Linked DNA regions of Caenorhabditis elegans. The protein of the gene in region 1 purifies or fractionates together with the protein of each later gene. This does not show direct contact. Each region holds a gene or a part of one and is shown on either strand. Other genes may lie near its edges. The genes, in order: Y57G11C.36 and gid-7.

Region 1 (3,926 bases):
TACAACTTTGTAGTTGATTGTTTTTCACCAAAAAAATTGCTGGTCGAGATAAAGTTGTGTAAAGTTCGGCACCTTCATGCTTGTATTTTCTTCTTCTTTTTCTATTCATATCTCATCCAACCAATTTTTTGATAAAAAACGATGAACTGCAAAATTGTACTTTATATTAAGATAAACAACTTTGTAGTTGATCACTTTGTCATAAAAAATTATTACACGGAGATATCAGCATCCGAAGTGAGTGCGTTTTTTGAATTTTGAGGTTCTACTATACATCAGGTTTTAGTCTGAATTCGTGTTCAGAACATCTAAACTAGATAAACAACAAACATTGCATTTTTCTATAACATCTGATCAAATTTTGAAAAGTTTTCAAAAAAAGTTTTCAAAAAAAAATTTAGAAAATTTTTGTAAGGGGTACCCTTTGGATTTTTTTTTTCATAAATCGAAAAAAAAAACATTGAAACCTAAAAAACCAAATGTTTTTGACACTATCGCCAACAACATTCTAGTTGGACACATTTTATTGCAAAATCTCATTGCCAACTATCCTATGCTGAAACCTTTGAAATATGCTTATGCTCACGTTTTGAATATGCTTATGCTGATGTGCGCTTATGCTGACAAGAGCTCTCACGAGAATTTCGTGATCCAATAAACACATTGAAAGCTTATATCAGGACACTTGACGACGTAAAAGAAAACCGAACCTATCCAGATTTTTTTCTCGATTGGAAGATATCTAGTACTTGAAAATGTGTTCATAAAGATTGGAACTACTACAGAATAAGTCATTAAGTTATTTTCTGTTCCTATTGTTCAGTTTCTACAAGAAATCTATTCCACATTGACTTTTGTTGTGAATTTGAACCTTCCGTTGGCCTAAAATACTTCTGTAGAGCTACTTTTTTCGAGAGTATTCTTAAGTCTTCTACAGATTCAACTTGTTGGAAAATCGGGAACTTCTCTGATTCCTCGAAAATACTGTTGTTTAAAAAAAAATTTTGGCCTAAATTTTTTTTCCTCAAAAACACCTTCATTCTGGTATTTTCTAGGAGCATATGTCATCTGTATTGTTTAATAATTTTTTGCTTCAAAAGCTCTGTTTTTGTGCTTAAAACTCTCATTTTTGTCGATTTCCTAGTTTAAAACATGGAAATTAAAAACATTTCGGAGTACGGTACACATCGGTGTTTGCGTACCTTTGCGTATTGTGCATTTAATTCGACGACGTCCCCACACCTCGACAGTTAGACATTCTGTCTTTTATTCTGGGCGACTGGTGGTTGCCCTCCCTTGATTTTTCCTGCTATATTTTTGGATTCAAATTGTTTTTCCTAACAACGGTAAGTGTTTTGAATAAATATTTGATCACGATTTTTCCGAGAAATGTGGCAAAATAACGTCACAAACTTTATTTAAATACATGTTTTTAAATTTATAAGGCAACGAGCATCTTGAAATACACTTTGATTTTACGAACTACTTGAAAAGCCCCGGTAATTGTGATTTCTCTTCATTGTCTTCTTCCAGAACAAGATGCGATCCCAACCAGCCCAGCTTTACGATCTGTCAAAGAGAGCCATCGCCGCAAAGGAATCGTACAAGAAGATGTCTCCGAGCAAGAAAAAGGAGGAAAATGCGAAAAGCAACGCCAACAGAGCTTCGAGGAAAGGAAGTGGGCCGAAGAAGGCCAAGCCTTCTGATGCTGTGAAAAGGGCGAAGGAAGCCGAAAAACGAGAGAAGAAGAGGTTGAGCGACAAGAAACGATGGGAGGAATTAAATGATGCAGCGAAGGAGGTATGTTATAAACGTATTCAATTTATGATTGGAACCTAATTGCTTCAATTATTCAGGTCGTTCGAGCTAATGCACGAGAAGCGTCAGCAAGACGCAGGGCTGGTCGCGATGCAGGCCTGTCAGCGAATCCGAAACGCTCGCCACGATGGTCTCCGCAACCGGACCCTTCCACGCCATCATCCTCCACATCATCCTCCACATCATCCTCGCCGTCGTCGTCATCCACTCCACTTACCAGCACACAGAGACGCTCGCCACGATTCCACGCCGCCCCTTGATTGATTGATTGATCTTTCCCCCAACTAACATTTCATACTTACCCCGCTATCATGTAAAATATTTATTTCGCATCCCTCCCCCTTGCCATTAATCTTATAAAACAGGTGCCCCCTCTTGCAATTTACCATGTAATTATGAATAAATCATCACTGTCTCTTCGAATGGAAATTTGTTATAGAGCGCACTTGCATTTTTGCTATTTTCTGCGATTTTTTTCTGTTGAAAGAACATTCAGTTCAGATTTATTTTTATTTTTTGCGTTCTCGGCTTACGCATCAGCGAAAGTTTATGCACGAGTTGCGAAATTCTATGCAGGTGGTGCAGAATTCTATGCAAAAGGTGCGCAAGTCTATTCAGGAGTTTCATTTTATGGAGGATTTTTAACTTCACGTAGGAATTTTCACTTCATTTTCAATTTACGCCGAAGTTTCACTTCACACACTGAGAAAAAAGAACGACAGCTCACGTGAAGTGAAAAATATTTTTAATATTAAATATATTTTTTAATAAATGAGAGCAAAAGTTCACGCAGCGGCTGATGTGGTGTTTCCACGTGAGCTTGCCACGTCATCCATCCGCCCGTCTTTGATCCGATGACCTTCCCGGAAAAGTTCAGTTTTAAAACGTTTTTCGTTCAGTCGTGTGAGTTTTTTTTCTATTTTTTTTTGTTAATTTTTAATGTTTTTTTTTAATTTCAGAGTCATCTTCTGCCTGACAATGAGTTCTTCTGCCGATTCGCTTACGGACGGCATTCAACTTCTCCGCCTCGCCGAAAAGCATCAACACTCGTCTCTTCTGACTCCGCCACCGTCGGATGACTCTCAAAAGTCGCTGAAATCCACTTCAAACCACTCGGATCAGGAGATGTCGAAGAATCTGCACGATGTCGAAGCCTACATCGATGCGCTGAAAGGCGAGAAGCATCAGCTGGCTCAATACTCTAGCGGCGGCTTCAACCATGTCTTCAACTTGATCGACAAGGAGATTCAGAAAGTCGGAGGAAACGATGCTCATGATGGTGGCTCACAAATGAGTGGCGATGGTTCGATGCTCACGGAGACTATCATGGTTCCAGTAGAAAAGTTTCCCGATTACAACTTCGTTGGAAGACTTCTTGGACCACGTGGAACAACTGCAAAGCAGCTCGAAGTGACAACTGGTTGCCGCATCACAATCCTCGGAAGAACCAAGAGAGATGGATCAAGCTCGAATCCCGATGTCACTACAGGTCCATTGAGAGTGCAAATTTCTGTTCCAGCAGATATGCCGCAAGCTGCAAAACTCTTGAAAGGTGGCGTCGGTCACATTCAAGCAATTCTTGATGTACCAGTGAGTGAAAAATAATAAAAATATCGCTTTTATCCACCAATAATAAAAGTTTTCAGACTGACGGTAACGACGAGCTGAAGCGTCAACAATTGCTCATTCTTGCCAATATGAATGGTACCTACCAACCTCGCGGCTCAGCCACATCTCCAGGATCCGGCGACTATGGGCATCCGTTCCAGAGTTAGTATTTTTAAAATTCTCCTATATATATATAATTTTCCTGTATCTACCTGTATCCTTCATGTGTCTATCAATCACCCATTTCGTGTTCTATAATAATTATGATAATACTTTTTCGAAAATTCCCAAATAAAAACTTAAAAATATACATTACGTTTGTTACAGACCTGCTTCCATACGGTTATCGTCTGCCAGGCAACAGCCCAAGCCACCATGAGTCAAAGAACGACTGTTACAATCCAAAGTGTGCGATGATGAGAAGCTTTATTGAGCATTCCAACAACAATCATAGCTCAATGCAGTTAGTTGTAAAACTGAGAAAATATATTTAAAATCTA
Region 2 (3,926 bases), on another chromosome or scaffold:
CCGCGTCGTAGTTTCCTTTGAGAATGTTCGCACGGACTCTGGCACCCGACGTTGTTTCAATTGTGAAGCCCGTCTCTTCAACGAGAGTTTCAACAGAGCTTCTGAAAAAATGGGTCAAAAATACGGTAGCCGGTCTCGACACGACATTTTTTGTTTATTGAAAAAAGACATGCGCCTTAAAATTTCGTAATTTCAAAATTCCAAAATTCCACGTGGTGCGAGGCTGTCCCGTTACGGTTTGGTCTACAAAAAATGCGGGATTTTTTGCCCAAAAAAATGTGATGTCAGCACGGTATTAATCATGCGAAATCAGTTGAGAACTCTGCGTCAAGCCGAAATGAGACACTCTGACACCACGTGTGCTTTTTTTACAAAAAACTCTGAAAAATCGATAAAGAAACTTTAAAGGCGCACACCCGTTTTCATTCAACATAAAAAATGTCGTGCCGAGACCCGAAACTGGTCAAAAACTTACGTCAAGCCGATATTATCCAAAAATTGTGCAATAATTCGAATTGTTGCTTTATCATATTTTCCCAACGCGATTTCCTTTCGAATCACCGACTCGGTTTCTTCGGGATCATCTTGAGATCTGGGGGATAGTTGCTGGAAAAAGTGAATTTTTTTGTTGCATTTCAATCGCGGAACATGATGTCAAAAAGTATCATTTCGGCTTGATCTACGTAGATCTACAAAAAATGCGGGAGTTGAGACGCATATTTCTCAACTGATTTCGCATGGTTAAGAACGTGCTGACGTCACATTTTTTGGGGCAAAAAATTCCCGCATTTTTTGTAGATCAAACCATAACGGGACAACCTGACACCACGTGTCGCTGTGAGACCCTTACCGCATGATTCTGCAATCTTTGTGCTACAGACATCTTCTTACCCTTACGACCAACATCGTCAAGTTGCTCGTCGACAGTCATTCTGGAATTTTTTTTTGAAATTTTTGCCAATTTTCGCGCGCCAAGAATACGGTAGCTGGTCTCGACGCGACAATGTTTTGTTTATTGTCAAAAGGTATGCGCCTTTAAAGAGTACTGTAGTCTAAAACTTTAGGTGCCGCGGAATTTTCGATTTGCAAAAATTGATATGTTTGCAATCGTAAAAACTACAAAAAATCGATTGAAATTGAAGGTTTTGTTATCGTAATTTCGCTAGAAGTCGACATGTCCGCTTAAAGGCACCCAGATTTATTCAGATGGGTCTCGGCGCGAAAAGAGTTTTTTAAAAGTTTTTTTTTTTGCGTTTATCAATGAAATTTCTTGGTTTTTAGCGAGTTTTGTCGTTTTTTTTTTAAATTTTCGTAAAATGTTTAGACAAATTTCATAAGTGCTTTTCCTGCTTGTCGGCTTTAACAGAAAAATGAAAGAAAACGCAAAAACTCCAAAAAATTTTTTTTTCGCGCCGAGACCCATCTGAGTGAATCGATGCGCCTTTAAGAATGAATGACAAAATCTTGTGGCATTACAATAAATACAAATGAGTGTGCGCCTTTAAGGAGTACTGTAGCGCTTGTATCGATTTACGGGCCTGAATCAGTTTCGAGAATCGAGCCCGTAAATCGACACACGCGCTACAGTAGTCATATAAAGAATTACTGTAGTTTTCGCTACGAGATATTTTGCGCGTTAAATATGTTGCGCAGTACGCATTCTCAGCATTTTGTGTTCCCGTAATATCGATTTCTCTCAATTGTTCTCATCATTTGTTAAATTTTGGTGTTTAAAAAAAGAATTTAAATACGAAATTTTATCGGAAAACTAAGAAAAATCGATAAGAAAATTCCGTAACCACAGAAGTTTGAAATTACAGTACTCTTTAAAGGCGCACACACACTTTTGCATTAATTTTATAGAAATTTGTCGTGTTGAGACCTGGTACAGTATCGCAAAATCGTCATATTTAGCTTTTTTTAAATTGCAAACCTCTGTCGCTTGGCCGGGACAACGGCTGGCTCGTCAGCCTCTTCTCCGATGGGTTTCCGAACCACTTTGAGTTGTTAAGTGGGAACGACGCGCCACTGATATTTTGAAAACTACAAAAACGAATTCCAGATTTTCCAGTTGAGACCTAATGACAGTAGGGGGTAGAAAAATTCATAAGAATATATTCGTGCGTATTATTTAGTAAGAATTGTCTTGTCTGCTGCAGACACTCTCTCAGCTGACGACTATCGAACGGAGGCGAGGGGCAGCGAGATATTGTGCAAAAGTGAGAGAGGGAAAAGAGAAAGAGGAGGAATGATGAGGCAGTGGGGACAAACTCTAGACGCAGAGATAAAAACAAACATTCATTCACAGGCTTGTAATTCGGCGTTAATTCACGTTAAATTTAAAAATTAATGGGATAGGGAGATGTTTAAAGTGATGATGATGATGATAAATATTGTGCTTTAAATCTCAATAGTCTGATGGAACAAAAAACGAACAAACAAAAAAAAACAATTAGACATCCACATTGATCGAGGACGCCGAGTGCTCCACATTGACTCCACCACCATTAACTATCTGCGGATTTCTTGGCACATATCCAAGATTGGCGAGCCAGTTGTTTCCGTCGGTACATATCCACTCATGCATACGGTTTCTAACGTCCATGAACATCTTCTTAAACTGGATTCCGTCACCGCGAGACCTGCGGAAATCTACCATGACACGTGGCTTGTCGGGAATATCGCCCATCGTGTACAGACTGACCATCATCGAAACCTCGCGCCACGTGACTAGTAGACGGTAGTCGTCAGTCTCACGAACGCCGAAGCCGGCGTGCTCACTGGCTCGAGCCACTTTTTGGTACGTGGAACGGATGTCGGTGACGACGCAGAAACGTGTCATACGGCACACCATTCGTTGGAGGAGATTCTGAAAATTTTAGGGGGATTTAAACTAAATTCTGGGTTTTTTAATCAAAAAAAAAAGTAAATTTAGCAAAAACCTCTAATTTTGCAACCATTTCCGTGTCATTAGCGAATTTTCATCCTAAAATTATCAAAAATGCCAATTTACGACCGAAAAATTGGAGATTTTAGCTAAAAATCCGCCAATTTCTGACGGTTTTTTCCTAACCGAGTTGGTCTGCGACATATCAATATGCTGAGTAAGCAGAAGATCCTCAGTCTTTGTCGGCTGGGAGAACGAAGCATTCTGTCTCTCCGCCAGAGTGCTCTTCTCGTTCGGAGTCTCCAAGTGACGACGTTTCGCGGAGCATTCGGCTTGTTGAGTGCATGTGCTGGAATATATTGAGCATTTTAACATGAAATTGTGATTTTTTTTTAAATTTAAATGGGGTTCTGGCCTTCCTCATTGCATTTTTCGCAACTAAAATCGAGCCGCGACGCGACACGCAACGCGCCGTAAATCTACACCAGATATGGCCGAAGCCATCTATTAAACTCACATATTCTCATCATTGTTGCGAGCGCGTTTCAGTGGCCGCCCGTTCGGTGTCTCGACTTGACCGAAATTGTGCTGATACCACGGATCCGCTTGGATCTGCTCGATTGTCGCGCGCTTGTCCGTCTTGTCGGTGACGATCTTACGAAGCATGCAGAGGGCTCGAACGTCGATCTTCTTCCACGGTCTCTCGTCGAGGCTCGTGTTGCTGATCCATCCCATGTAGGATTGAGAGGCGCTGAAAAAAAACATTCATTTCGTCAAAAATTAGCTAAAATCTCTGATTTTTGGTGTCTCAACGGTCGGAAAATAGTTTTTATTGTTTTTTCTCGTTTATACACATTTTTCGTTGAGAAATTGCCATTTTTAGCCGAAAAATGTGAAATAAACCATCAAAATATGCTAATTTCCGCCAAAAACGCGATGAAAACGCACTCGCTAGCCCGATCCCACGGAAGCTCCCCGGTGAGCATCGCAATGAGCACAATCCCAGACGACCAGACATCGACGGGCGGCCCACGGTACT

What was found.
Region 2: the proteins of Y57G11C.36 (region 1) and gid-7 fractionate together in Caenorhabditis elegans (co-fractionation; one large-scale study listed by BioGRID). This does not show direct contact.

Annotation. Positions count from the first base shown.
Region 1 is NC_003282.8:14,771,907-14,775,832, reverse strand, and holds the start of Y57G11C.36 (K Homology domain-containing protein), read left to right. Parts: upstream 1-2,078; 5' UTR 2,079-2,721; intron 2,722-2,777; 5' UTR 2,778-2,796; coding exon 2,797-3,408; intron 3,409-3,464; coding exon 3,465-3,588; intron 3,589-3,753; coding exon 3,754-3,889; intron 3,890-3,926. Other genes in the region: Y57G11C.51 (DUF3362 domain-containing protein), read left to right, coding at 1,540-1,800, 1,857-2,078.
Region 2 is NC_003283.11:3,754,866-3,758,791, forward strand, and holds the start of gid-7 (CTLH domain-containing protein), read right to left. Parts: upstream 2,210-3,926; 5' UTR 1,934-2,209; intron 933-1,933; 5' UTR 932-932; coding exon 851-931; intron 607-850; coding exon 476-606; intron 102-475; coding exon 1-101. Other genes in the region: Serine/threonine-protein kinase chk-1, read right to left, coding at 2,453-2,869, 3,074-3,236, 3,405-3,638, 3,836-3,926.